Astyanax mexicanus: one gene and its partners. The protein of the gene in region 4 binds, or shares a complex with, the protein of the main gene of each other region. Links are inferred from orthologs where the notes say so. Each region holds a gene or a part of one and is shown on either strand. Other genes may lie near its edges. The genes, in order: tubgcp3, tubgcp5, nme7 and tubgcp2.

Region 1 (6,826 bases), on a different chromosome or scaffold from region 4:
GGACTTTTGCAAACTACAGTATATTATTATTCAACTGACATTCTTCTCCTTCGTTTTCTTCTCACATCTTCTTATTACATTTCTGCCAAATTGTCACAGCGTGACAAATCATCACTTTTTAATTTTCAGAGCTTTTTCATGGGATGCATAGTTTTCATATAAATGAAGTCATGACTCTTTTTTTGGGGCGGTCCTGATGATTGTTGATTTTTGATGGTCTTTGCAACTGCACTCGAGAATACTTTTAAAGTTCTTTTCTGTACTTGCCATAATATGAATTAGAACATTACTCAGATACTCTAAATCACTTTATATGTTTTTCTAAATAGTAGTAAAAATGTAGTATATTTTACTACAATGCAGACCATTTTTTTTTAATAAAGAAAAACAATTAATGTACTTAGCTAGAATGTTATATCATGATATGAATGTTGGCAAAATCTTCCAGCCATACTTAGCTAACTAGCTAACTAGATAACCTAGCTAATACACATTAGTCACCTAACCTACAGCTCTGGAAAAAAAATCAAGAGACCTCTTCAGTTTCTAAATCAGTTTCTCTGATTTTGCTATTTATAGGTATTTGTTTGTTGTTGTTTTATTCTATAAACTACTGACAACATTTTTCCCAAATTTCAAATAAAAATATTGTCATTTAGAGTGTTTATGTGCAGAAAGTGAAAAGTGGCTGAAATAACAAAAATGATGCAGAGATTTTAGACCTCAAATAATGCAAAAAATAAAATAAAAAGAGTTCATATTCATAAAGTTTTAAGAGTTCAGAAATCAACATTTAGTGGAATAATTCTGTTTTTTTTTCATGCATCTTGGCATGTTCTCCTCCACCAGTCTTACACACTGCTTTTGGATAACTTTATGTCACCCCTGGTGCAAAAATTCAAGCAGTTCAGCTTGGATTGATGGCTTGTGATCATCCCTCTTCCTCTTGATTATATTCTTTATAACGGAAACTGTAGCTAGTTAACATTTTATCATGATATCAATTTTGGCAATAACGTCCAGCCATACTTAGCTAATTAGCTAACTAGATAACCTAGCTAAAACACATTAGCCACCTGACCTGGGTTACCTTGGTTACCTAGCTACATACAGCTGCTAATATATAACCTACAGTAGTAGCCCACTACACTACTACTACTACTACTACCACTGTCTTTATTATTTTTCTCTCTCTAGTATTTACATAATAAACCCTGGCATATGACTGTCTCAATTTGTTACTAAAGCTATGGATATACATTAATTAGCTGTGTGCTGTGTGTATATCAATTAGGTTAGTTAACGATAACCTAGCTAGCTGCTGTTTTTAGCTAGAGAAATATGGTGCTCACACTGGGGTTTAAACGGCTTTACTTATTAGTAAACTAACTAGCTAGCTGCTGTTTTTTAGCTGGAGAAACATGGTGTCCACGTTGGGGTTTAAAGGGCTTTATTTATTAACGTTAGTTAATTAACAGGCAGCAGCAGCAGCTTCAGCCTTCAGTCCTCCTGCTTCCATTCACATTCAGGAGAGTAACGTTAGAATAAAGAGAGAAAAAAGGAGAAAAGAGAAAGACGGAGAGAAAGAAGGGGCAGACCAACAAGTTGAACAGGTTAACTAACCTAGGTAACGGTTAACGAGGTTAGGTTAAGTAGGTAACGTTAACGTTACTCACGTATCTGCTGATGAGGTTCCTAATGGTGCTAAAATCCATCTTCTCCTGCCGGTCAACACCACCGCCTGCGTGTTGCTCCTCAGATCTTCTTCAGGCTGCGTGTGTGTGTGCGCGGTGTGTGAGTGTGTGTGTTGATAGAGAGGTGTGTGAATCGCTAGCTGATCTTCCTCTGCTGCTCCATGTCTCTGTTTCTGTCTCTGCTGCTGTGTCCGCCGGGACTGATACACACTGATACTGAGACAGCAGCAGGGCTGCACGGCTCTGACCGGGGCTTTATTTCTCTCCAGGTCGCGGTGAGAGCGCAGCGGCGAGTCCGGGCTTGCTCATGTTGTCTCGGGGCTCCGTGCGCTCACCGCCCCGCTGACCGCCGTTCAGTCTCCGAGTCTTCCAGCAGCCCTCCTCGAGTAGTGCTGAAGGAGGCAAGCTAGCTAGATACTTCTTCCTGGACAAGTGTTGCGTTCCAGCGGCTCTGCCGAGTCCTGTCCCCCTCTCTCTCTCTTTCTCGCTCTCCTTTTCTCTCTCTCTCTATCTTTCCCTCCCTCCCTCTCTCTCTCTCTCTCTCTCTGTTTCCCACCCATACACAGTCTATGCTCTCACCCCAGTACTAGCCCTCCATGCACAACCAATCACAGCCCTCTCTCCAGGAGCGTCACGGGGGGCTCGAGGCGCATGCGCATTCCCAGCCACTCCCACACCCTCCTTCCCGCCCTAACTTAGCAAGATGCTGTATTTATAAGCAGCTCCATAATACAGTACAGTAGCTGGGCCAGTATAGGTGTTGGAGTGAGCTTCAGAGCATGTAATCCACTAATTATAAACTAATTTACTGCAATCAAGCAATGTTCCAACATCCCATGTATTTTTCGTATCACTTTTGATTAATGTTTAATATAATAATATAATACTCTAAATGTTCTTTTAGAGCATCTCACACAAATCACTTGCCGAAAAAAATAAGTCTAGTTTTAATACAATTTAATGTTTTAATTGTTCTATAAATATAAACACTGAAAAAGATTTAATGTGAACACAATGTATTGTACACATGTAACACATGTAATGTACAATGTATTGTACACATGTAACACATGTAATGTACAATGTATGTGTTTATCTAGGTTGCTAAAACAGAAAAACGTATCATAACTGTTATACCGCAAATCATGCAACGCATTTCCAGAATGGTGCAGTGTGAGCCGCAAGTTTAATATATAGACTAAATATTTAAACTCATATTCAATAAAAAATATGTTATGCAGATATAAGTATACGGTAGCGGTCAAAAGTTTTTTACTGTTAATTTAATATTAAGACATTAAAGCTTTACATGAATGGGGAACTATTGTTAGTATTATTATTATTATTATTATTATTATTATTATTATTATCATTATTATTAATAAACAAAAAGTGTTAAACAAACCAGAATATTTAGAAAGTAAATTTTATTAAAATTAAATTAAAAGAAAAAAGTTACACTAAATAAGAAGGTGTGTTCAAACCATAAACTGTTACTGTACATATACACTATAGAAGTATACTAATACTAAAGCCAATGTGATTTAATAATCATAAAATGTAGAAAACAGATGCTTCACCTTTTTTACTAGCATCTAAAATACCGTGCAAATAAATGTGATTAAACTCTGTATATTTAGTTAGTTTTATATTTAGTTTAGTTTTGGGCAAAACAAAAACCAGACTGATACAGGTATTGTCACTGTCCATTAAAACCTTTCTAGCTATCTATTTTATTCATTTTTTGTAATTCTTGTAATTTAATAGTAACTTGACAAAATGACGCGGAATAAGCCATTTAATGTATTGGGTTATATTGCCCTTCTAAAAAACGGAAATTTGGAAATTCATAAAAATAAATATTGTGGACCTCCATAATAAGCATCAATTATAATAAGCAGTATCATTAGCAAAAAAATCTTATTTTTTCATAACAGTTTTTTTCAGTTTCTAAATGCATTATGTGTCTTTACTTATGCTTTCTGTGTGTATTTATTTATTTGATTAATTCATTATAACCTATCCCACAGTGGTCTGGATGTTCTTTTATCGGTAGGAACGAAAAGCTCGGAACCCTCGATGAGCGCTTGTTTCTCAGTGGGCCGTATTTTCACTCCGCCGTGTATTTTTTTCCCGCTCCGTTTCTAACCGAGGCCGCCTTTTCGGCGGGTTGTGTTAAAATGGCGAGCCGCTGGAGGAATAAGGAGAGCGGGCAGGACTAAGGTAGACCCCCCGGACCCCTGCGCTTCGTCTCTGACATCCAGAAAACGGGCAGGATGGCGGCTCTGGACCAGAAATCGCCCAATGTGCTTCTGCAGAGCCTGTGCTGCAGGATCACAGGCAAGAGCGAAGGTAACGAGCAGCGGAGCTAAGCTAGCTAACCTGAATAAGGTCCTCTATAGCCAGCGTTTACCACCGCACAGCTGTCTGAAAACACACGACTGCTTCGTGTTTAATGTGTGTGTGTGGTCGTTTTTCTTCAGCTGGACCATTTTTGACCATTAATGAGCTGTTTATCGCTGTCTTGCTTTAAGAGTTTTGTGAAAACGAGAAAACTGCAAATGATAACTGGGAACAGAGCTGAGAAGAGAATCTCTACTAGCTAGCTAGGTTACTGTCTCTGTAATAGTTTAAATTTAATATTAAATGTAATAGTTAAAAGTTTATAATGTTTAAAAGCATATATTGGCTATCTTTCTATCTTTCTCTCTAGTTAGCTAATTAGTTTCTCACCCGCTGTGGTCCATATCTCAAGCATCTTATCCTGGCTAGTTAGTTAGCAACCTATCTTGTCCAAGCTAGCCCAGGTTGCCAGATTGAATCAGAGAAGCAGTAAAGATACACTGACATGAGGAGTCAAACGCTGCCATTTAGACATGCATGCATGCATTGCTTTGAATGGAGTGATGGAGAAAAAAAATACAGTGCTCAGTGCAGACACACCTTCTAATCAGTGACTCATCTAGTCATCTCAGGATGCCACAGCTTGTATAATCTTAATTAAAAAGCATTGGCAATAGAATATGATGCTCATAAGTGTCACCTGTTCTACAGGAACTTTTTACCTGAGCAGAGAATCACCTCTCTAGAGATTCTGGCGTATATAAAACAAGTAGTGTCACTTGAAAAGGATGCAATGGAGTATAATGCCATTTAGGCCTGTCATGATGATTTTTTGTGTGTGTGGGGATGATATATTGCAATAAATTATATTATTGTCTTTTTAAGACCATATAAGTGCCACTGACTACAAAATGTTAATTAATCTTAGATTGGAAAATATATATCCTCTTTTTTGCGCCTTCTGCATTGGTCGTTACTAAAATACTGTTCACTGTTTTTATATCACAATCATCTAATATTATTAAGGGCATGTCCATTTATTGTATAACAATTCAAAAATATTATTATGTTCATGGCAGATCTAATGCCAACCATTAATTTGAAGATTTGAAGAGTAAAGGTATTTTCAGCACACTGGGAAGTACTGAAACATTTGCATGCAAGACTAATTTAGATATGCTCAAAAGCCAGGCATGAGCTGCAGGAACTAAGCTGTTAAGTTTTGGAAAAATAAAAACACCCAGACCTTTTGGAACAGCCAGGGAAATTTGATCTACACATTTTTGTGTTTCCATTTATGAACAGAGAAAATCTATTTTGAGCTAACAAATACATCGGTAAATCAAGTAATTTAGACCTACACAATGGTGCTCTTAGGATTTGACATGCATTTTACTATTAAAGGTTGTGCGTCAGATTAATTTAAGGCCTACTATAATCCAAATTTGATTATAGTTTTAGTTTGTTTTTGGTTTTATTGTTTATGCATTCAGTGATGTTTTAAAAATCGTTTGATCATAATAAAATTTGTCTTGAAGGCATAGAAAAGTCATGAAAAAAATCGTGAAAATTTATTGGTTAAAAGTTGTATGAATCTGGACCAGAATTTGAATCAAGGTTTATGTGTACATACATTTGGCCTGCTTTGTTTTGGTTCTAGACTAAATAAATAAATAACTTTGCTGCATACCGTTGTCGTCACCTACTATTTTTACAATTTGATTGTATAATGTTTTAATTAGGCGAGATGCCTTTACAGATCCTTTTGCTAGAATTCAGCGTCCCTTCGCCTGCCTGCACGTCCCACATCAGAATGAATGTAACTGATTAGCCTCAGATCACTTATCTCTGTTTGCAAGTACAGTTACAGTAGATACAGTGATTGCCAGTGTAATCAGTTCTGATGGAGTCGGAGGATTTTGGCACAGCACCAGTTCTTTTGCTTCTTCTGTTGCTGAATGGTTGACAAAGTCTAAAACATCTACTAACTAACCAAACTCATGTTCCAATTGATACAAACACCACCTTTTTTGGTCTAAAGGTCCACACCATGATTTGCAGCACCTTTTACACTTGCTTTTACACAAGTTAAATGTGAAAGCAGCCTAAGTTGTGAAGTACAGGAACTGTGTGGACCAATCAGGACTGATGGCACTCCATCTACCAGTCCAGAGAACTTTTAAGGAAAGCACTGGCAATAGAAAGGGATGCTCTGGGCCCATCTGTTGTAGAAGAGTAGAGACTGGTACTGGTACAGTAAAAGTGGGACACTCACTATTTCTACTCCCTTGTTTTTTTGGGCACATATTGCTTTCAAGGTAGTTTCATAATTATATTACAAGTTGTCAGTTTCCATACAGGACAGTACATTTGGCATTATCGACTATTGTATGTCAGCAGTAAAGAGATTTCTGCTCTGAAAGCTCTTCAGTAATATGACCCTCCTCAGAAAATGAGGTAAAAACGATTAGATAAATGCCTGTAGGATAAATATAGACCCCATATATGGCCCTTAATTTAACATCATTGGATGCAGTATTGATTACGTTAGCTACAGTATGTCTGCTTATTTGACATGGCGTCTAGCTTTATACCTTTTTATGTTTGATTTGTCTTTTATTGGGGACAGAAAAAAGGTGCCTTTGGGATGTTTAACACGTGCGTCACTGAGTTCTCTGACCTTCTTTTTTCCAGCTGATGTGGCGTACCAGTTTCAGTATGCTGTGCGGGTCATCGGAAGTAATTACGCCCCGACCATCGAGCGGGACGAGTTCCTGGTCTCTGAGAAG
Region 2 (7,544 bases), on a different chromosome or scaffold from region 4:
TGAAGAAGTTCCTGGAGGTGCTGAACAATAGTCGCTGCTTTTCCTTCCAAAAGCTCCAGCTTATCCTAAATCTTTATTAAGTAATCCCATATGTGTCCCTTAATTGTTTTCACGTCTTTAATATTAATCTACAATGTAGAAAATAAATAAAAGAAAAACAATAAATGAGAAGGTGTGTCCAATCTTTTGACTGGTAGTGTATACTTTGCAGGTTTCTTAATGTTTTAAAGTAATCTAGTATGATTTTAGAGTGTTTTACCATGGTACCCTCAGCAGTAGGAAGAGGGGAGTTCAGGAATTCCTCAGTCAGTCGTGTCCAGCTCTCTGCTTTACACAGGTCTGAGTGCACCATGAGTTTCTCATATATTCTAAGAAATGCAAGAGGTGAACATGTTATCAGTTTGTAAACTAAGCATAGCTGGAAAGGTAAGAACATGTGTCTCTGGTAGTTTGTTTCTTCGGTAATAAATCTTATACCTTTTGAAAGCCTGTTAATTTCTCTTTAATTTGTAATGAACATGCATTTGTGGGATAAGCAGCAGAGCTGAGTATGTGTGTTGTGCCCGTGACAAATTTGCCATTCCTCTCTGCCATTGCCAAACAGCTCATCTGTCCTCTTCTTGACTAATTTGGTGTTTGACCATCTTCTTGGGCCGCTAACTTTTACAGACATCCCCTGTAGCCTTCAACTTAGCCTTTAATTTGAAGATGCTACTATGGCTCACTCCAAATAACGCTGCAACTTTTTTTTTTGGAACACCAGCTTGAAGTTGGCCTTCCACATGGTCCCTATCCAGATCAGACAAATGTAGCATGCCTATACTTTGAGCAGACACCAACTGACCACAGTAGCATAGCCCATGCTCACATGCACTGCTAATAAGGCAGCACCCGGGGGAACCAGTGGCTTAAAACAAGGGTTAATAGCAAAATAAGCTGTATAATAATAAGAATAAGAATATTTGGCCAATTTTTCATGCAATCCACATACTCAGCACTGCTGCTCATCCCAAAAGTATGTGTTCCTTAGAAATGTGGCTCCATTAAAAATAATAATAAAGAGGCTTTATAGTTGTATGAGATTTAATGTCAAGAAGTATTGTTACAACATAAGCCCTATCCAGATAGGATTAGTTTCTCAGGAGGATGTCTATGAAAAATATTTCATACTTTCACTTAGTGGTAAAACCTCTGCATCTGGAGTGAAATTGAAAAAACAGGAGGACCAGTGAGTTTTTTGAGACTTTTGCAGTCACATGACATCGCGTTCAGCAGCTCCTCCATTTCCATTCGCTGTTGTGTGGAAACGTGGAAACGTGCGCCCAACATGACAAATAGCTATGTTATTAAACGCGTCCGGATAGGGCTTAAGAAATAATCTTCCAAACACAAATCTCCTTACATTTTGTGTTATGTTTTAATTAAATTAAACACAATCTTATTCTCACCCATTTATTGAGCGCTGCACATTGTGGCTGCTGACATCCAGGAAACGGTGAAACCTGGCAAGATAAAGAAAAGTAAAAATCAACTCTTTAAGGACAATTTAATACAGTAAAAAACATATAATTACAAACATGAACAGCTTAAGAATACAGCCTGAGCCAAACATGTCCTTACTTGAAATTTGACCAGGCGAATTTGAGAGCCATTTGGAAGTTTTGGTCCTCTTCATCTTGAATGCCAGTCATGTGTGCTATCAGTCTCTTCACCTCCTGCTCCAGCTCCTTCTCAAATTTGGTCCAGTGAGCCATCCTGCAGACACTTAGCTAAGTTAGCTAACTAGCCAATTGTAAATACGATTTTAAAATTTTAAATTACTCTTATATCTCTTCCTACTGCCATTCTGGCTTCACAGGTCTAGCTGAGCTGATTCTGTAGGTTTTCACTACGTTCATTTTAACAGCGTGAACCTTGCTTACTATCGTTAGCTAAGTTAGCTAGCCAACCGCTTAGCATCATCATAACGGCGGTTTCAGTCATACAGCTAAGACCTAGCAGGCTATCTAACCCAGCGAGCTCAGCGAGCAGGTCCTCCCCTCACAGTATTCACAGGTGCTGCGGTTATTTCCCCCCTTTACTCAGTGCTTGCTATAATAATCCTGTCGCAGTTCAGTCTCGATTTAGTGAACTGATTCGCTGCTCATTCAGTTCAGCCCGTTTCTCCTTCTTGCCGCTCAGCCTGTTTTGATGCTCCTTCTGTGGTTAAACACGAACGTATCAAGCATTAGCAGCTCTATACCGCCTCCTAGCCAACCTAGCTATAACTGATCCCAGATACACTGAGGCCCATAGACATCTATCTTGAAGCCCAATCCCATTAATAGTTTGTACCTCTACCCCTTGTTTTAAACTGTAGCCCCTTCCTTTGGAACAGAGTTACAAGAAGAAGGGGTGAATCATCCTCCTCAGAATTGGATGAGGATTCAAGAACAATAGATAGCAATGGAGCGCTATATAAGTTAAGTAACCTAGCTGCTGGGACTCTTTATCATGTTTCAGTAAACCCTAAGTCCAATTATTCTTCTTTAAACCATTGCTAATGTTTAAACAAATGTCACATTTTTGTGGTTCCTGAAAAACGTAGAAGTTAAGCGATTATTTTGGGAAGGTTTTGGTATGCACCCTTACCTTGTCTTTATTAACCGACTTATTTTCTGGATTTGGGAATTTTGCCTATTTGTGAACTTTTGTGCTTTCATATTTTGCATTTTTTTGTTTTTCCAGGATTCTATTTTGTGTGCTTGTGGTCTTATTCTGTTTGGTCTTTGCCTGATGTTGGCACCCGCTTTGTGATTTTCTTATCTTGCTTTTTTCTCTAGGCACAGGCATTTTAGGTAGCTTATCTGATCATGAACTTTTGTTTTACCTGTAGTTTCTTCTCTTTTTTTGCTGATTGTGAGCTCGTATTTTAAAGGCTGCTGGCCTTTATGTTGTGTTTGTGTGTCTGCTAGTGTACTCTACAGTCTCTCTCTCTCTCTCTCTCTCTCTCTCTCTATCTCTCTCTCTCTCTCTCTCTGTCTCTCTCTCTCTCTCTCTCTCTCTCTCTCTCTCTCTCTCTCTCTCTATCTATCTCTCTCTCTCTCTCTGTCTCTGTGGTGTGGGCGTGTTTGTTCCCTCCCCCTCTTCCAGAAGTAGCGGAGCTGAGGGCTGTTGATAGTCCTGTGTGTACCGGGGGCGCCAGATCCGAGTGGATCGCCGAGCCGAGCGCTGCGGCAATGAAGAGGAGGCTTCAGAAGAAGTACATCATCCTCATCGTCGCCTACTCGGTCCTGCTGCTGCTCGTCCCGTACGTGCTGGACTACCGCGGTCACTCGGCTCACGCCAAGCATGCAGTGCAGCAGCAGAGGTGCCCCGACCTGGAGAACACTATGGCGCTGTGGAGCGGCATCGGCGGCGGAGCGGCAGGAGGAGCCGGAGGAGGAGGTAACGGTACGGAGGCGGCGGGCGAGGACGGCGGCATCAGGAACGACACCAAGATCCACATCTATCTGCACGCCACGTGGAGGACGGGCTCGTCGTTCCTGGGCGAGCTGTTCAACCAGCACCCGGACGTCTTCTACCTCTACGAGCCCATGTGGAATATGTGGCAGGCGCTGTACCCGGGCGACGCGGCCAGCCTGCAGGGCGCCGTGCGCGACATGATGAGCTCGCTGTTCCGCTGCGACTTCTCCGTGCTGCGGCTGTACGCGGGCGCGGCCAACGTCAGCACGGCGTTCGTGTTCGGCTGGAAGACCAACAAGGTGATCTGCTCCGAGCCGCTGTGCGCCGCCTACAGCAAGCGCGACGTGGGGCTCGTGCAGGGAGACGTGTGCGCGCGCTGCCCGCCCCGCGACCTCGCCGAGCTCGAGCGCGAGTGCCGCAAGTACCGCGCCGTGGTGATCAAAGACGTGCGGGTGCTCGACGTGGGCGTGCTGGCTCCGCTCGTGCGCGACCCCGCGCTCAACCTGCGCGTCGTGCAGCTGTTCCGCGACCCGCGCGCCGTGCACAACTCGCGCCTCAAGTCCAAGCTGGCGCTCGTGCGCGAGAGCATCCAGGTGCTGCGCAGCAAAAAGCACGCAGACCGCTACCGCCGCCTGCTCGCGCCCGGCGCGCGCGCCAACCGCGCCGAGAACTACGTGGCCAGCGCCATGGAGCTGATCTGCGACGGCTGGCTCGGAGACATGCTGCTCGTGGCCAACGCGCCGCCGTGGCTGCGCAGGAACTACATGCAGATACGCTACGAGGACCTGGTGCTGCGGCCCGTGGACGAGCTCCGGCGGCTGTACCGGTTCTCGGACCTGCCGGTGTCGCCCGAGCTCGAGAAGTTCGTGCTGAACATGACGCGCGGTCGAGGATACAGCTCGGACAAGCCGTTCCTTATCTCGTCCCGGGACGCCAAAGAAGCCATCTACGCCTGGAGGGAGCGCCTCAACGTGGAGCAGGTCAACCAGGTGGAGGCCTACTGCAGCGAGGTCATGCGCCAGCTGGGCTACCAGAAGAGGAACCCGGACCAGACGTAGAGTACAAGTAAGCAGAAGGAACCGTGGAGTCTGAGCATGTGTGTTTGTGTGGGCTGATGTTTACATAATTTTCACTCTAGTGTCTAGTAGAGCACTGAGGAGGATCTAGTGATCCTGGAGGGCTAAACTCCAGCACACTTTTGAGCTTTACCTGCTCAAACAAGCCCAACTTCATCCCACTCGTTTATTTTCAAATTTCTAGTGCTAGGACAGAGGAATCAGCATAAATCTGTGCTGGCCTCCCTTGGCTCCAAACCTCTGAATACCCTCGCTAAAAATACCATATGCTTGAATCAGTAGGCATACTGCATTGACCAGAAACAATAATCAAACATCCCACCAAGCTAGTTAGCAGACAGCAATAGCAATGGCATACATATATGGTGTGTGGAAACCCGAGCTAGTCTTCTATGTATGCAAAATTTGTGTGAGTGGCATATGCATCTATGTGAATCGCTTTTTGGGTGTGCTTGAAAGTTTTAATTAGGTCATGTGTGTCACACGGCCTAAAAATGGTTTAGAGATTTGCTCCAGTCATGATCTAACACATTTAGCTAGTACAGATAATAAACGTCAGCTTAGTCCTTAGAGACCTGCAGGTGGTGTACACCTGTGGGGACCTAAGCATACTTGTGTTTTTCCTATTCAGCCCTCTCAGACAAATTAAATATCTGTGTATATTTAAACAATTCAGCTTGTTTAGTTTAAATGTTCCCTGGTGGTAATAATAGTACTATATAATGACTGTATAATATCTGGGTAGTTTTGAAAGTTACAGAATAAACTGTTCACACCCACATAAGTACAGTCATTTGGATAATCAACAAGATATTAAATAATGAAAAGTCTTTGCACCAAACACACAAACATTGCAGTGTGTGACTTCACTGAAGTTTGACTTCAGCTTAATTACTGCTGAAATCTCCACACAGCTGATCCAATCAACTAGAAACACCTACTTACCTGGTACAGGTGAGCCTGGAGGTCCCAGAGGAGTGTACTGGGAATTGCTGGTCTGAAATGATGAGGTATGGTGACTGAGCATCATCATAGTGTAAACTAGAAGAGTGTACCTTTTAGTGGTTTATTTTTTATTTTTTGATACTGAAGCTTTACTATATTTTTCTATATATTTCTTGTCAGGAGAAGGGAGTAGGCTATACACACACATTCACACAGGGAGTACAGTTTTACTGCTACTCTAATCTTCACATCATTTAATCAGACCAAACAGACACTCTGTAACTTCTATTACAGTGCATGACAACACCACTTTCGCTTTCCTGTGTGTGTTGCGTGGGGAAAAGCAGTGTGGCGTGATACACACTGAGAGTCCAGCACTCCAGCATACAGCGCAACAGGCCACTGCTCTTATTATAATATGGTAAAAATAATCAGATCCCTGATCTCTGTTTTTCAAAGGAGATCACATTAAGAAGATTGAGCTGGTTTGTTGTCTATCCTATCAAAAATGAATGCTCTTTAAAAGGCTGTTATTGCATCATTTTGCTATTATATTATAAGATCAAATACGAGAGGATAATCACCCTAGGGATATGTGTACATAGATTTTGCATATGCCAAAATGGAATACTATCATACTAGACAGTCATATAGAAGTCCTAACAGTATACCAATATTAGTATTGTAGTTATTATTGCAGTATAGTAGTGTAATTTTTTTTATCAGTTGAAAAATACGTCAGTCGGACCAATTAAATTCAAATGAAGTCTTAAAAGAAACACCAATACTGGTTCACAGTTCTCCAGCAGACAGCAGTTCATGCCAACTATATACTATAACTAAAATGTTCATATCATAGGTCAGCATGAGGGTTTGCTTAAATTGCTGGAAGGTTTTCCAGGTCATCAAGTTGTCCAGCTGTAGCAAGTCCTGGTACGATTTTGGAGACGGTTTGCCAGGAGGCAGTCTGACAGTAAACAGTGTTGTTCCACCACCTCCATCAATACTACCCTGTGTTTATACACCATAGCTGTATATAGTTGTAGCCACAATTGTAGCCATTTTTGAATCGCTTGACTGACATCCCTTAACAAATCCATTGTTAGTGTTTGCAGAGCTGCTTTTGTTTGGGTTTTGTACATTTGTGTTAGTTTCTTATTGGCTCTAACAAAGAACTTTAGTGTTCTCATTTGAAATACCATATAAAGCATATTTAAACTAATATTACAGGTCCAGTCTTATTACTATTCAGTGTACACATTACCGTATGCTGTTTTCCCAACTGCCTGCCACCTCCTATTTTCCACAGAGTCCCATGGGAAGCGACTGCTCAGTAAAAAACAGTGCATGTGCTTTTTTGGCACAGTGGGATGAATCCCTCGGAGTTCAGAAGAGCTCCTTAATGTCTGTTCCATCAGCAGCATTATTGAACTAATCAGATTACATTACAAAAGAAGAGATTAAATCCATAAACAATGAACTAAAACAAGCTCCACACAGTATTTTGTAAAAGCTGAAAATAAAGAGGAACCAGAGAGAGGAGCTGTGATGCATAGATCAAAAAGTATTAGGTCAGGATAACGAGACATCTAACATCTAAAAAGAGCAGCATTTTCTCTCAGTTCCTCCAAACTCAACACTATAACATGACTGACAGGAAAGTTACGTTTTGTCGCAATATAGCAATTGTGAAATGTGGTAGTCAACATACAGTAGTTCAGATCATCATCATCTGCTTTCTTTATCTGGCAACCAATCAGGGCTAGAAGAGAAAAAAGGTAAAGGGGTGGTTTTGGAGGGTGGAGGTGCCTCCATATCAACAGAAAAAGATAAGAAAGTGAGCTATAAAAATAAACTGTGTACAATGGCATGCTACAGTTTAAATACCAAATACTTCATAGTTCTGTTTTTTTTCTGTTTGAAGTAAGGAGAAAAAAAGAAGTACCATGCAAATGTAAGGCACCCCCAAGATATTTGTTTATAATCATCATTAAGAAAGGCCAGATGATGAAAATTTCGGAATTCCTGCCTTGACAACCAACAGCCATTGGCTCTTCTAAACAACTGCCTAGAAGGGGT
Region 3 (7,860 bases), on a different chromosome or scaffold from region 4:
TATGGGAGTTGGAGTGAGGGCTGATAGTGGATGCAGGTGAATTATGGGAGTTGGAGTGAGGTCTAATAGTGGATGCAGGTGAATTATGGGAGTTGGAGTGAGGTCTGATAGTGGGTGCAGGTGAATTGTGGGAGTTGGTGTAAGGTCTGATAGTGGGTGCAGGTGAATTATGTGAGTTGGAGTGAGGGCTGATAGTGGGTGCAGGTGAATTATGGGTGCAGGTGAATTATGGGAGTTGGAGTAAGGGCTGATAGTGGGTGCAGGTGAATTATGGGAGTTGGAGTGAGGTCTAATAGTGGATGCAGGTGAATTATGGGAGTTGGAGTGAGGTCTGATAGTGGGTGCAGGTGAATTGTGGGAGTTGGTGTAAGGTCTGATAGTGGGTGCAGGTGAATTATGTGAGTTGGAGTGAGGGCTGATAGTGGGTGCAGGTGAATTATGGGTGCAGGTGAATTATGGGAGTTGGAGTAAGGGCTGATAGTGGGTGCAGGTGAATTGTGGGAGTTGGTGTAAGGTCTGATAGTGGGTGCAGGTGAATTATGGAAGTTGGAAGTGAGGTCTGATAGTGGGTGCAGGTGAATTAACATACCTCCATCCACAGTGTCATGTGTGTAAAAGAAGCACATCATAGAAAGCTAATATTACCATCCACCGGCTAGAATTGTCTGTGTGAACAGAGACTAGCGGCTCTGAGAGAAATTTAGATTCCTTATCCACATTCAATGCAGGAGACCCCACCCACATATCATACAGCTCAGTGCAGTTCTCTTTACCTAACATGAAACATGCCAAAAGTCATGGGACACGATACTAGTTCCTGCCACATTACTTTTGGCAGTTGAGTGTGTAGACGGCCTAGGTACCTTGCAGGAGAAGGACATCCAGGCTTTAGTATTAGGAAACTCCCTCAGCAGCCCCACTAAAGCTTCCACCTCTTTAAGGCAGGGTATGGTCTCCAAGGCAATGAGGTCGGCTTCTGCTGCCACTAAGCAGCGGACCTGTGGGCGGTGCCAGTCCTTCAGCTCCTGCAGTGACAGGAGCATGGGGTTTGTGCCGGGTCTGAGAGTAATTAGCTAGCTATTAACTCCTGTATGAACAAAGTGATTTATTCAGGCTTACCTCCACACTCATCTGGCTCTGATAGTTTCCAGTGTACTCTGACCCATCGTTCAAAAACGCCCCGTATGGACCCACAGAACCAGCCACCAGTGGCACTGCTCTGTCTGTGAACGTTTATCAGAATAAAAAGTTGTCAGTGAACATAATCTACAAAATTAAAGGAACAGTATGTATTAAATGACAACAAGCATATACAAATATCTAATGCAGTATAATTTTAAAACACTAGAGAGAGTTGACTGCCACTAATTCTCCTCCACAGACTGCAGGGTTGAAAGCAAATCAGTGCAAGATGAGATCAAGTATAATCATATTCAAAGCTAAACTGAGTCAATATAAATTCAATTTTTTGTTTCTGTTGTATCTTTGTGTACATTAGTCTCTGTTGAGTTAACAGCTGTGTCCCGTCAGTTTACCTTAAATACATGACTGCCTTGATAACCCAGCTGCACTCAGCTGAGCACTGAGTATAAATGCTGTGAAAATGTTGAAATTATCTTAAATGCTCATCCCTGAACTAGCGGTTGTGACAAATTACCCAGCTAATGTTAGATGAAATTCAGCACTACTCTGTTCTGAAGAGAATTAGCAGTATCTGTCTTGTAGGCAGAGCGTGGGGCCAGAGGCTAAAAGACAGAAATATTCCACCTTGTGTTTGGCGGTATGACGGTATTTCGGTACACCACGGTTTTTTAAACATGGTGGAAAAACTTCAATACCGCTCAACCCTAATTCCACCCAATAACAAACAGTTCTAAGGAGATAATCCTAGAACTTAAACTTAGCATTAGCTTAGCATGTTACTCGATCATGCATCCAGTCTAATTTTTCAGTTGCTACAAAAAATAATACATACTGGTCTTTTAATGATCTCAGATAGCCTCACGATTTTTTAACAATGTCTGTCTGCCTCTGAAAAATATTCTGAATCTAAATTAAACGGCTATGCTAACACACACACCTGCTGCTGTACAGTTAGTGGTAAAGAGCGCTGCAGTGTCTTTAGCGATCTGAACTCCGGATATTAGTAACTCCTCAGCCTGTTCAGGTTTCAGCTTCAGGTGTTTGAAAAATCCCTCCAGAGTGGCCTGGTACGTAGCTGTGGTGATGACATCAGATCCACTCTGAAGAAACCTGCGCGCAAACACAGACACACACAGAGGAAACAAGCTCATCATCATCCTCACAGTCTGACTGCAGATTCAGACACAATGAGGGAAGAATGAAACATGCTGGAATTACCTGTAATGCACATCTTTAATGGCCTGTGGGTCTGTGTAGAGGACTTTAGCGCTCCATAACGGATCCTCCTGCAGAAACATGTCCCAGAATAAAAAAAGATAATGCTTTATAAGTCCCACAGAATCATAATCAAATACTAATCCTTTACAGTGCTATGCAAAAGTATTCGGCCCCCTTGAAATGTTTAACGTTTTGCCACATTTCAGGCTTCAAACATAAGATATGAAATTGTTATTTTTTGTTAAGAATCAACAACAAGTGGGACATAATCATGAAGTGGAACAAAATGTATTGGATATTTTAAAATGGGGCGTGCAATATTATTTGGCCCCTTTACTTCCAGTGCAGCAAACTCACTACAGTAAGGATCTCTGAATGATCCAATGTTGACCTAAATGACTGATGATAAATAGAATCCACCTGTGTGTAATCAAGTCTCCGTATAAAACCTCTGTGATAGTCTCAGAGTTCTGTTTAAAGGGCAAAGAGCATCATGAAGACCGAGGAACACACCAGCCAGGTCCGAGATACTGTTGTGGAGAAGTTTAAAGCCGAATCTGGATACAAAAATATTTAATAATGAATAATATTGCACACCCCACTTTTCAGTTTTTTTATTTCTAAAAAAAGGAAAAAATATCCAATAAATTTCGTTCCACTTCATGATTGTGTCCCATTTGTTGTTGATTCTTCGCAAAAAATACAATTACATATCTTTATGTTTGAAGCCTGTAATGTGGCAAAAGTTTGAAAAGTTCAAGGGGGCCGAATACTTTTGCAAGGCACTGTATCCTTATTCAATGTTTTTCTTTTTTTCTTTTTTTATTTATTTTCTACATTGTGGATTAATATTAAAGACATTTGGCTTCCACAATCCCCGATCTTAACCTGATCAACTGAAATGGTGATTTGGCTACTTAGAAGAATAAAATAGAAGTATAAAACAGATAAAAACAGATTCTGGTTTGTTTAACACTTTTTCTTAACAAGATAATTCCGCATGTGTTCTTGTATAGCCCTAATGTCTTCAATATTACTGTAAATAATACAATATAACTGTATTATTGTAAATGAAAAATAAAAAGTGAGAATAACTGCAATTATGCAATATTATTTTTATTTTATTATTTAAAGTGTTTATTTGACCATATTACCAACTAAACACTTTGCATATTCAGCTTTATTTTTGTATCATATTTGTAATTATTTTAAACCACAATTTAACAAGCTGGATCACTGACTTAAGGTACAAATGTGTTTATTATTTTTATACTGCTTGTTGCAAAAGAGATACATATTACAAGGTCAAAAATACAATCTGAACTATACTAAATACTTAACATACTACAACCTAAATAAAATGAAATAAACTTTTAAAAAGAAAGTCAACATACAAGAGCATTCACATTAATGAGCTTGCTATACTAATTGCGACCAATGAATAATCTTGAGGTCTGCAAAAATGATTGAGGTTATGTTTGTGTATTATATCATAGTCAATAATTATAGTGACAGGCCTAGTAGTGATACTGCACACTGTTATGGTAACAGATAGTGGTTTCAGATGTTTAATGCTTTAGATTTCATATGTATACGAATGTAAGATTGAGACCTCTACAACATTATTTGACAAATGTGACCTTGTAATATGTATCTCTTTTGCAACAAGCAGTATAAAAATAATAAACACATTTGTACCTTAAGTCAGTGATCCAGCTTGTTAAATTGTGGTTTAAAATAATTACAAATATGATACAAAAATAAAGCTGAATATGCAAAGTGTTCAGTTGGTAATATGGTCAAATAAACACTTTAAATAATAAAATAAAAATAATTTTCTGCCAGGTTTTTGTCGGGTCTGAACACTGATTATAGTTAATGTGATCAAATAATTCAGTATCATATTTTCTATGTTCTGTTGTTTTTCCTGTTTTTCTTAATATGTTCCCTGTAACACACCCCTGGTGTATTTTTTGGTTCTATTCTCCTATTCTATGTCTGCTTCTCTAAAGCTCTCAGTACCTGTAGATAAAATCCTCTTTCCTCCAGTTCTGTAGCCAAACCCCCGTCCAGTATCAGAGGCTTGCTGGTCATGCTGGTCTCCTGATCGGCCTGGGTTTTGATATACGAACTGTTTAAGATTTTAAACTCTGCTTCTCCTCGCAGTCAGTCTATAAAACACACAATATATGGATGATATTCATAATTATAACAGTAAAATATAACTAATTAAATATATTAATATCAAAGTCTCACTCTTAACTAAGCACTTACTGTAACTGCAGCTCATACTGTCCTCCTCTGCTCCAAACCTGTACTAAAATCCGCAGAATAAATATTAATCTTAATCCCATTTTAATCATAACAAAGTCCACGTGTGAGCGCCGGTCATACTACGAGCTACTTCCGGTGTTCTGTCGAGTTGTGCTACGCATCGACATGTGCTACTTAGGGGCTCTCCGCATGCGCGACCAGATTTTAGTGTAGCTACTTATTACTTCCAATTTTAACAAGCAGATTATACTATCTGAGTTTACTGCGTTAAAATTAAGTCGTTAATTAAGTCGTTAAGAGAAATGTAGTCACAGCTGGTGTTTGTTTGACTATTGTATAGATTCAGTGAGGTAAACTAAATTAGTAAATGAGTGCTGTAGACAGTGGTAGCATGTTAAAATAAATAAAGTATTTGAAGTACTTAATAATAATTTAAGATGTAAAAATATTGTCTATAATTCAGATTTTCTGAGCATTCAGCCCGTCTAAATTTCCTGTTTCTTGTTTTATTTAGCCAGCTTTACCAAAAAATTAATTTGCAAAAAAAAATGTATGATACATGTATGATATATGTATCACACATAACCTTATCTGTTCTTGCAAATTAAGTATTTAAAGAAATATACATTAGGGTTGCAGACTTTCGTAAGGTAGTAACATTTACTGAATAACCTTAGTAATACAAACTAGAAGGAAACGTGTCTGTTTGTTGGTATAAATATATTTATTTTGTTATTTCGTATTTAATTATTATTATATATTATTTTAAATACAACTATTAACTGACATAAATGGACTTTTATTTCTTGTATGGGTTTTTGTTGCTAGGAGACAAGGCTGATAGGCACGCTGTGGGAGAAGCAGTTTTAGCCCTTAGCTGCTAAACAAACAACAAACCACCTAAACCAGCCCAGCCCGAGGATACTGGAGAGCCTGGATTGCGAGAATGGTACATTACATTACTGCGGGAGGGGAGCTGGGATGGCATGTTCGGTACTTTAATCGCAGTTAAAGAGTTTATAATTTTATTTCCGGGTGGATTAATAATCAGCGCTAACACTGGCTAGCTGCAGCTGCTGCCAGAGCGCACGCCTGTCTGTAGCACTGTTGTTAGCTATCTTAGCTAGGCTAGGTTAGCTTAGCTATAATAGCTGCTTGGCTAACTCGCTGAAATTTTACTGTTTGCTCCATATATTTGCCATAACTGGCACTAAATGCTCTGATAAATATCAAATTACTTCTGCACAAAAGTTTGTTGTAAAAACTCGCACTGCCACTTATCTGCATATTTACACCTTCTGTAGTTAATCTAGCTTACTGTTTATGAACTTTATTCATTTTTACCAAACCTATTACAGTGTTACTCATGCTGCACAGTAATGTTCTTTAATATTATTCTACTGTATATGTTATTTTTCAATTCTGTGTATTACTGTCTACTTGCACTGCTCTTACAGTTCAACCCTTGTTCTGCATTGCTGCTCCTAGTCTATGCTGCATTTCTTTAGCAGCTGTACAGCTCTGGAAAAAATAAGAGACCACTTCAGTTTCTGAATCAGTTTCTTTGATTTTGCTATTAATAGGTAAATGTTTGAGTAAAATGAACATTGTTGTTTTATTTTATAAACTACAGACAACATTTCTCCCAAATTCCAAATAAAAATATTGTCATTTAGAGCATTTATTTGCAGAAAATGAGAAATGGCTGAAATAACAAAAATGATACAGAGCTTTTAGACTTCAAATAATGCAAAGAAAACAAGTTCATATTCATAAAGGTTTTAAGAAATCAATATTTGGTGGAATAAACCTGATGTTTAATTACCGTTCGATGCATCTTGACATGTTCTCCTTTACCTGTCTTACACAATGCTTTTGGATAACTTTATGCCACGCCTGGTGCAGAAATTCAAGCAGTTCAGCTTGATTTGATGACTTGTGATTAATTTGGTAAAATTAAAGAAACTCATAATTTTTAAGTGGTCTCTTATTTTTTTCCATATATATTGTTACTACGTACCACCTGTTATGGTTACTACGGCACTTAATGTAACTAACACTGTATATTACACTTCTGGTTAGATGCTAACTGTATGTCATTGGCTCTGTACCCGTGCTCTTCACAATGACAACATTTAATCTAATCTAATTTAATAAATAGTTGTTTAAGGTCTAGGTAGAGCTAAAATCAGAAATCAGGAATATTAACTTACATAATTCATGTAAACCAACATTATGTGAAGTAAATAATGCTCACACATTAAAAAGGCCTAGATGCAGCTCATTCATTTTTCCACGTGAACTAAACCTCCACTAAAATCTACAGAATTAATATTAATCTTATAATTCCAATTTAATTATAACAAAGTCCCCATCATAATTCCACATAATAAGAAGCTAACATAAGTAATTATACATGCAGTATATGAATGAATAATGCTTGTAATTAGTACAGGAAGAAAAGCCTTTAGACTTTTTTTTTTCCAAACCTTTAGACTTTTTTGGGTTCATTTTGAGACCATAAATGTAGGCTTACGTTAATCCTAATAGTGCTCAACAAAAGCTTTGTTTGACCAATTTGCAAATTCCATAATACAAAAATGTTGTTATGTTGATAAAAAGAAAAAACATGAACACAAATCCAAATAATAATAATATTAATGTTAATGTTATGTTAATGTAATGTTAATGTTAATGTTAATATTAATAATAATAATAATAAGAACAACAACAGTAATAATAATAATAATAATAATAATAATAATAATAATAATAAGAAGAAGAAGAAGAAAAATCTTCCTAGAGTTTTTGTTATAAAGGTTTTTAAACAGGACGTGCAGCATCTTAAACCAAAAATAAACAGTCTAGGTTATTCTGATTTTGTGTTAATTAAATTTCACTAGCAGGAATGCTAGCAGCTATATGTTTTTTTTATATGGTATTATCAATGAAAGAAAAGGCTGTAATACACTTATTTCTCAGCTCGGGTTCTCTGATAATAGTGTGGGACTGTTCATGGGTTGCCACTAGATGTCAGCTATACCCTATTATAAACACAGCTACAGGTTGATCAGCTTTGTGGTTTTGTATTAATACCAGGTGCAGTAGTAGTTGACAGTTATGGATATATTAATTCTTTTTTTCTCTTTTTTTCTGTGATTGTTGAAAGTGTTCATTAGAAATATATATCTATTTTCCGAAGAATCACAGACAGCCAAATATCTG
Region 4 (7,066 bases):
CAAATGTCTTAGACTACTGTACAGTTCACAGTTCTACAGTTTTTCAACGAAAAAAAACAGTTATTTACTGTATGATTTTACTGTAAAAAAAAAAATCAGCAGTTGGTTACAGTGCAGTCATCAGAGGGGCTGGAACTGTGGTGGTTTCACTTTTGAAAGACGCTGTAAAGTCCATTCTTTTCTACAGCCATTGGTATGTTCATCTTTATTTTTTATAGAATGTAGAAAACAATTGCAAGACCACTGATCTGTGCTTCTATTCTGTTGCTGATAAGGTAGGTCAGGTAAAAATATGGCAAATACTTCAATGCTTATCATCTTCACAAAACATTAGCCAACTCAAGTGGATAATAAGTACCTCCTTAATGACATTTGGGTCATAATAAAGGTTACTGCAACCTGCAAAGCCCTTTATTACTCATGGCAGACTGGCTGCTATGAAACAGAATGGCTTCAAGTGAGAATTGTCTCGGTCCTCTTTCATACATCTCTGCTCAACAACTCAATGTCAAAAGGGTTTAACTACAAAATCATTACATGACAATGATAGGGAGGGAGAGAAAAAATCTATTAGCTGTTGGAAGAATAGGTTAAAGGCCTGGAAGCCTAAAGCTGTATGAACTGTCAAACAGTTCTATAACTATAGAGCAAAAAGAATAGAGCCTAAATATGTAGAAGATGGATGAAGAAGTGCATGTCTAAACCCTCTCCAAATGTCCTGGAAATTGTCTTATAAAAAAGTTGTGTAACCGACTCTCCTGTTCCAACTGTATAAAACTGCCAAGCTCACTGAAACACCGTAGAGTAGAGCACTCTTAACACAGTGCGGCCAAATATCAACTTTCAGGAAGCTTATGTAAAATTTCATGGCATTAGCAGTTTTTGCAGGGCATTAATTTCCTGCATCGTCAATCTCAGGTCTTCTCTGTAGTAATACTGAGATGAGTGATGGGACACTCTGCAGACTCCATCACTCCTCCAACCATGCTGCTCACAGCCTGTATCAGTCATTTTAACCTGATGTTCTTTGCTAAATCATAGATTATGCTTTAGGTATTTACCTGGAAAATGCACGGCTAGAAAAGTGACCTGGATGTTTCTAAACAGACATTTCAACATAAATTAGTGGTCAGTATACAGCTGTGGTCAGAAGTTTATGTGCAGGGTATGCTTGATATATATCACAGTTGTGGGGAGTCACAGCGGTTACACCCACAGCAGGAAAACACTAAAACAAGCAGAGGTACTCTGGTCTCATGACCAGGATTAAGAACCACAAGGCTTAGTGTATTTCACTGGCATTGAATTCAGGTACATAAAAATGTCAGGAAACCCTTTCTGCCCGCATATTAATGTCCACGGAGCATTGGTTCTTTTATGTTTTCGAGGTCTCTTTATTAAGTTCGACTTTCATTTTTAATTTGAGGGAAGAACAAGCATTTGATAGAGAAGTTTTATTAATTTCACTGTTGTGATTCTCATTTCTTACCATTGATATGCCTAATAATCATCTTAGCAAGATCTTGGGATTTGACTGAGGCACAACAAAGTCAGCTCTATTCTTCTTCCATTGTCTGTGTTTTTTTAAGCATAATTTATTGGGGGGGACTGACTAGATCAGCTCATTGGGGGGGCGTCATGTGGGATGTGGAATGAATTGGTGAGATGGCACTTCATTTTTTTCCTTTTTTTCTCTGTAATGCTGGCGGTGAGTCATTAATCCTACTGAGAAACGTCCCAGGAGGTAGCGTGATGCATTGTGCTCTGGGACAGATATTAGACTGCTCTCTATTCACAGCTCAGCTCTGACATACAGTCTGATGCTGAAGAACAAATCAATCCCCCACAATACACCTCATTTACATAGATCTGAGAGTGTAACAGATGCTAGGTAGAATGTGCGAAAGCTTGCTCTAATAAAATAGTTACATGCTTTTGAACTACTTGTCTTCATGTCTTCATCATTAACACCTGAGAGTTGCATTAAATGGCAGAATCATCAAAGTGGGTTGGAGGGTTGTCAAGCAGGTTTTGTGGTGTTAGTTTTTAATTTTTTTATGTGGTTGTTTGGTTTTGACCACTAACCATCATGTTGTAAACTAGGCAGAGATTGTGCCTTATATAACTTCCATGGCCTTTTCACAGACATGTAATCATTTGGGAAATGTTGCAATCTGTGAATGTATAAAACCAATAAATTCAACAAGAAAACACTTGGAAAGAACAGTTATAGTAGGGAAATCTGTGGTTTTAATGTTCTACCCTGATCTCTTTATGAAACATTTTTACAAACTTAACTTATGTTGGAACTGCAGTCAGTTTTTCCAGCGTATTATTTTGAAGAGGCCGTTAGTGAGTTAGTAACTTGGTGGCTGCTTTTACTGGTAGCTTCTAGTAAACAAGTAATAGATGATAATAAGAAAGGACTTTCAGTTTAGTTTGTGATGTTAGTTTGTTTTGAAAGAGATGTTTTAGGGTGGTTGTTTTAGTGTTGTGGGTTTTTTTTTTCAAGTTTTGATAACTTACCATTATTATATCAACTAGGCAAAGATTTAGCCTTATATAGATTTGTGTCCTATGTTGAACTGTGCAGTTGTGGAAGTCAATACTGAACACTGATAATGTTATTGCTAACACTAATCCTAAGCCTCTAAAGGCTATGTTCACATTACCAGGCTGAAGTGACTCAAATCTGATTTTTTCATGGCTGTGTGAACGTGCCAAATCAGATTTTTTCAAATCAGATTTGAGTCACTTTCATATGTGGTCCTAAATAGAATACATATCTGATCCATAGACATGCGACATAATTGTGAATGGTCAAATCGGATTTCATGCATCTTTTTTCTTTTACGCATGCGCTACTTGCTTCTCTCTCTCGTATCAACACATCTCTTAGTGCAGAAAGCCGCCTGCCCTTTTTTCACCTTCTTGACCTGAGCATGTACTTCAAATGAGCTGTTTGCTCTCCACTTGAGCAAAAGATGCTCCACATATGAGCTGCTGAAGCAGCCATTTCACCTTTATAAAGCTACGAGTCGTCTCTTAAATATGATGTTTTTTTGTTGTTGGTGAAGTTGACGTTTATACAGGTATCAATGTGCGCATGTGAGACGTTTCAGGGACAGATTCGTTGACATTACACACAGATACAGGCACTTACATTTGTGATTGTGAACCTTCAAATCCGATCTGAGCAAAAAATCTGATTTAAGAAATATGGCTTTTAATGTAGACGTAGCCTAATTTAAGATATGAGCAAAAGGGAAAACAACAGGTAATTCAGTAAAGTGTGTTTAGTTTGGTGTTAAGAAAGTTGTTCTGTGCTGTTTTGGTTCTTCAGCCAAAATGAAAAAAATGTAGTGGGTTTTATAGATTAGACTGGAAAGGTGTTCATAGGTGTAAACAACTCATGCTGTAAATAATACAGTATCTGTAATATCCAAGTAAAGTTAATATACTGGAGGCAGCAGAAATGTCAATCCAGCTTGTTGTAGTCAGGTCATAACTGAATCAGAAGCATTATTAGTAATTTGTAGACATTAACTGCAGATGACTGTAGCAGGCATAGATAAAGCCCAGTGTTATTTATCTTAATCTCTACTGCAACTGCAGTCTTGTCTAGACCAAATACACCAAGTTCCATCTCTTTGTAATGTATTTTTATGTTTCAACTATTAAAGCTTTTTTTTCAAATATTTTAAAGTATTTTTCAGGATTTGTAAAGAACAAACACATTTAACAATTAACATCATGTAGAAAAACAAATATGGAAAATTGTGATACTAAAAGAGATGTTCTCTGGGGAGCTCTGCTTATGTAACTTAGCTAATATCATTCATCTATTATCTGTCCTTTGTAAATGTAATTACTTAATCAATTACAGCCTTATCTCCTCATTTAGCCTCTATTTCCCCACTCATCTGTTTATCATTTTCCCAGCTGCTCAGAGCAGCACATGCTGTTACCTACCCAACAGCTCAAGTATATAGCTATATTTTTTATCCTCCAAGTAAGAGACTTTTATTTTGTAACGGCGGTCGTTTTGGCGGTTCTTCGAAAAAATAATAAGAGTCTCTGATATCTTGTTAGTTAGCAATGTCAGTGTTATTTACACGATAGCTGCGCGCTTCTGCAACTGAGGTAAGGCTGACTGTTTTTCTAATGTTTATTACAGATATATCGTGTGCGCTAAGACGCGTTTCAGCTGATTAAATGTCTGTTTTTACTCAACAGCCTGTTTTTGGTCAAATAAACCCTCCGCCTTCACTGATGCTAGCAGCTAACGAGCTAATGCTAAAGTTAGGCAGAGGAGCTGCTGTAACGTTAGCTAAGTAAGCTACGCTAAGCTAACTGAGGACATTGGCTATATTTGCCAGTTAACTAGGTTATGTTTGTTGGCTAGAAACAACTGACCAAAGTTAATGTGTTGCTTGCAGTCTGCGAACCCATTTGTGTCCATTTTCTCTAATGAATTTAGATGTAATTTAGCTAACTTAGCTAGCTAGTTGGGTAACCATAGCTGTCTACCCCGCAGTGTTTTGAATCTGTTGATGCTCCATGTTTTCTAACGGTATGTAACGTTAAGCTGTTAACTTTGACCAGCTAGCCAGTGAGCTGTTCTGTCGTAGCTGCTAATACTGTACAATATGAGAAATGCTGGGATTTTATTGGAATTCCTTTACTGAAAATATTCACTGGGAAAAAGCATGATTGATTTCTGTTAACAATACTGTATCTGAAGTAAAGTAGAAGAAATGACGCTACAATTGAACCCTCTATGACATAAAGTTGCTCTGAGGCAACACACCATTTTTTTGGTTATTACACTTTTCCATACTATCAGATTGTCTGTATTTCTATCTATCGATCTATCTATCTATCTATCTATCTATCTATCTATCTATCTATCTATCTATCGTTCTATCGTTCTATCGTTCTATCGTTCTGTCTATCTTTTCCTCCAGAAACATGTAATTCATGCCATAGGGGGTTAAGATTTCTGAAATCATTGAATTTCTGATTTGCAGTATTTGTACATTTTGTGGCAATTAGGAAAACCTGGCTTATATTTTCTTTAAGTGTAATGTGGTCTCAAAATTTCTCCCATGTGAATTAGATTTTTTTTTTCTTGAATAACCCCAATTATCGATTTTTTTTTTTAGCTGAAGAAGAATGTATGATAAAGTCATATAATTGTTGTTAAATAACCCCAAAAAATGTTTAGGCTATTGCAGGTGGTCGATGTGACACCATGAGTGAATTCAGGATACATCATGATGTCAACGAACTGCTCAGCCTCCTTCATGTTCGAGGAGGAGATGGGGCTGAGGTCTATATTGATTTACTGCAGAAGAACAGGACTCCATATGTCACCACTACAGTGTCTGCACACAGTGCTAAGGTAGGGATGGGGATATTAAATAAAATGCATATAAGCTGTGATTTAAGTTGTAGTAAAATTAGCTATAATGCAATGTCTGGAAGTTTTCTGTATACGTTGTTTGGTTAAAGAGCTCAGTCAACAGTAAGTTATATATATTTTGCTGCTCTATGATTTAAAATTGCAGTCTTTTTACAGGTTAAGATTGCAGAGCACTCTAAAACACCTGAGGACTTTTTGAGGAAATATGAAGAACTGAAGTCAAAAAATGCACGCAACTTGGATCCACTTGTTTACCTTCTTTCAAAACTCACAGAAGATAAAGAGGTACCCTTTTAATAAATGTATTTTTGCCTGATATTGTAATGTATTTGCATTAACCTTTTTTTTGACGCCTACCTAACGAATGTGAAATGTGTTTGGTCCCAGACCCTGAAATGTCTGCAACAAAATGCCAAGGAGAGATCAGAGATGTCTGCAAATGCAACATCAAGCAGCACAACATCCTTCAGTATTCCCACCACCAGCACCAAGATGTCAATGCAGGAGTTGGAGGAACTGCGCAAAAAGCTTGGGAATGTAACAGCCAGCACCAATGTTCCCCAGGTGTTTACTTATTTAACAAACAACATTTAATCCTCTCTAAAATAAAACATTGCAATGGTATTGTATAATAAATCTATGTTAAGCTGCTCAGACTGACTTTGAAATGTTTTATTTTTCAGTCTGCTGAAGTTATTCGTAAGATGCTAAGAGACAGACACAACAAGAAGAATCCCACACAGCCTATTCCTGTGTTTCCAAACTGGGTGTATGACAGACCTGCACTTATTGGAGATTTTATGACCAGTCCTACACCAATGGGGGATCCAGTTGTGGCGATTGGTAAGCTCATGAACTTCATGTGTTTAGTGTAGTGCAATCACAACTAGTAAAAATAGTCTGCCATTGGCAATGCTACATGCCAGTAGTGCATATAGTGTTTATGTGCTTATAGGGGAACACATGCAAGCCCTCAGCCTGCATGCTTATATTTTTTGTTTTTCTTCTCTTTTTAGGCAGGTTCATTATTGCATTATCTCTCTCAACCTAATTTAACTTTTACAATTCTTAGATAAAAATCTGTTTATTAATTATGTCTTCACAGGGACAATGCCACTGCCTGTCCAGGAGCAGGCTCTGGTTGAAGACTTGCTGTACGTACTTATTGGTGTGGATGGAAGAGACGTCACAGCCCAGCCTGTGCTTGGCCGACAGAGTCGCTCCTTCATAGTAGACCCTTCTCTGGACATGTCTATTAAGGAGCTGGTAAACCGGGTCTTACCAGTGGCATCCTGTTACTCCACAATCACACGGTTAGTAGAAGGGATGACTTCCCTCTGTAATAGAGATGTCTTGATCCATAGCTATACTGTTTGCTGTACTTTTCTCCATTTTAGTTTTCTACAGTGTCAAACCCGCTGTTTAGCATGAACGTTAATCCAGCAAACTACCTATCAAGCCATTCGCTACTTTCCTCCAAACTGTATCAGCACCGCTGTGATGAAGACTCTCAAGCATTCTCTCTCTCCCTCTCATTCGGTGTCTCTCACTTACTCCCTCACTCTCTCTGACACAAATAAAAGATGATTGCGCATTTCTTCTTTTTAGGGTAGGTTGGAAAATACAGCTACACTAGCATTT

Evidence for each region.
Region 1: the proteins of tubgcp2 (region 4) and tubgcp3 are in contact, whole or in part, in a cryo-EM structure (PDB 8Q62), measured with the Homo sapiens proteins. The link is inferred for Astyanax mexicanus from reciprocal best matches to the Homo sapiens genes TUBGCP2 and TUBGCP3. Residues at the interface, in NP_006650.1 of Homo sapiens: Gln172, His173, Pro175, Ile176, Phe177, Pro178, Trp180, Arg184, Ala186, Leu187, Ile188, Gly189, Phe191, Leu222, Tyr223, Val226, Val228, Asp229, Gly230, Arg231, Glu278, Ser281, Phe283, Gln287, His290, Ala291, Ala294, Arg297, Val300, Lys301; in NP_006313.1 of Homo sapiens: Glu272, Asn273, Cys274, Ser286, Leu287, Asp289, Thr290, Val292, Arg293, Glu296, Trp299, Ser361, Thr363, Leu364, Arg365, Leu368, Val369, Tyr372, Lys375, Ile376, Lys379, Ala382, Ala383, Asp386, His387, Ala402, Tyr403, Lys405, Thr406, Gly407.
Region 2: tubgcp2 (region 4) and tubgcp5 share a complex: the UniProt entries of both Homo sapiens proteins name them as parts of the gamma-tubulin ring complex. The link is inferred for Astyanax mexicanus from reciprocal best matches to the Homo sapiens genes TUBGCP2 and TUBGCP5.
Region 3: tubgcp2 (region 4) and nme7 share a complex: the UniProt entries of both Homo sapiens proteins name them as parts of the gamma-tubulin ring complex. The link is inferred for Astyanax mexicanus from reciprocal best matches to the Homo sapiens genes TUBGCP2 and NME7.

Annotation. Positions count from the first base shown.
Region 1 is NC_064428.1:26,418,649-26,425,474, reverse strand, and holds the start of tubgcp3 (gamma-tubulin complex component 3), read left to right. Parts: upstream 1-3,811; 5' UTR 3,812-3,970; coding exon 3,971-4,046; intron 4,047-6,731; coding exon 6,732-6,826. Other genes in the region: atp11a (phospholipid-transporting ATPase IH), read right to left, coding at 1,677-1,715. UniProt on the Homo sapiens protein: Component of the gamma-tubulin ring complex (gTuRC) which mediates microtubule nucleation.
Region 2 is NC_064412.1:18,779,507-18,787,050, forward strand, and holds the start of tubgcp5 (gamma-tubulin complex component 5), read right to left. Parts: upstream 3,007-7,544; 5' UTR 2,870-3,006; intron 1,756-2,869; 5' UTR 1,755-1,755; coding exon 1,621-1,754; intron 1,503-1,620; coding exon 1,449-1,502; intron 369-1,448; coding exon 260-368; intron 1-259. Other genes in the region: chst7 (carbohydrate sulfotransferase 7), read left to right, coding at 3,219-4,502. UniProt on the Homo sapiens protein: Component of the gamma-tubulin ring complex (gTuRC) which mediates microtubule nucleation.
Region 3 is NC_064412.1:46,691,442-46,699,301, forward strand, and holds the start of nme7 (nucleoside diphosphate kinase 7), read left to right. Parts: upstream 1-4,855; 5' UTR 4,856-4,985; intron 4,986-5,253; exon of another isoform or gene 5,254-5,347; intron 5,348-5,463; 5' UTR 5,464-5,581; coding exon 5,582-5,584; intron 5,585-7,860. Other genes in the region: zgc:172121 (homocysteine S-methyltransferase YbgG), read right to left, coding at 864-1,025, 1,120-1,223, 2,081-2,253, 2,362-2,429, 4,384-4,455. UniProt on the Homo sapiens protein: Possesses an intrinsic kinase activity. Displays 3'-5' exonuclease activity with a preference for single-stranded DNA. Does not seem to have nucleoside diphosphate kinase activity.
Region 4 is NC_064422.1:23,249,644-23,256,709, forward strand, and holds the start of tubgcp2 (gamma-tubulin complex component 2), read left to right. Parts: upstream 1-4,049; 5' UTR 4,050-4,143; intron 4,144-5,227; 5' UTR 5,228-5,254; coding exon 5,255-5,404; intron 5,405-5,581; coding exon 5,582-5,710; intron 5,711-5,812; coding exon 5,813-5,989; intron 5,990-6,108; coding exon 6,109-6,268; intron 6,269-6,530; coding exon 6,531-6,738; intron 6,739-7,066. UniProt on the Homo sapiens protein: Component of the gamma-tubulin ring complex (gTuRC) which mediates microtubule nucleation.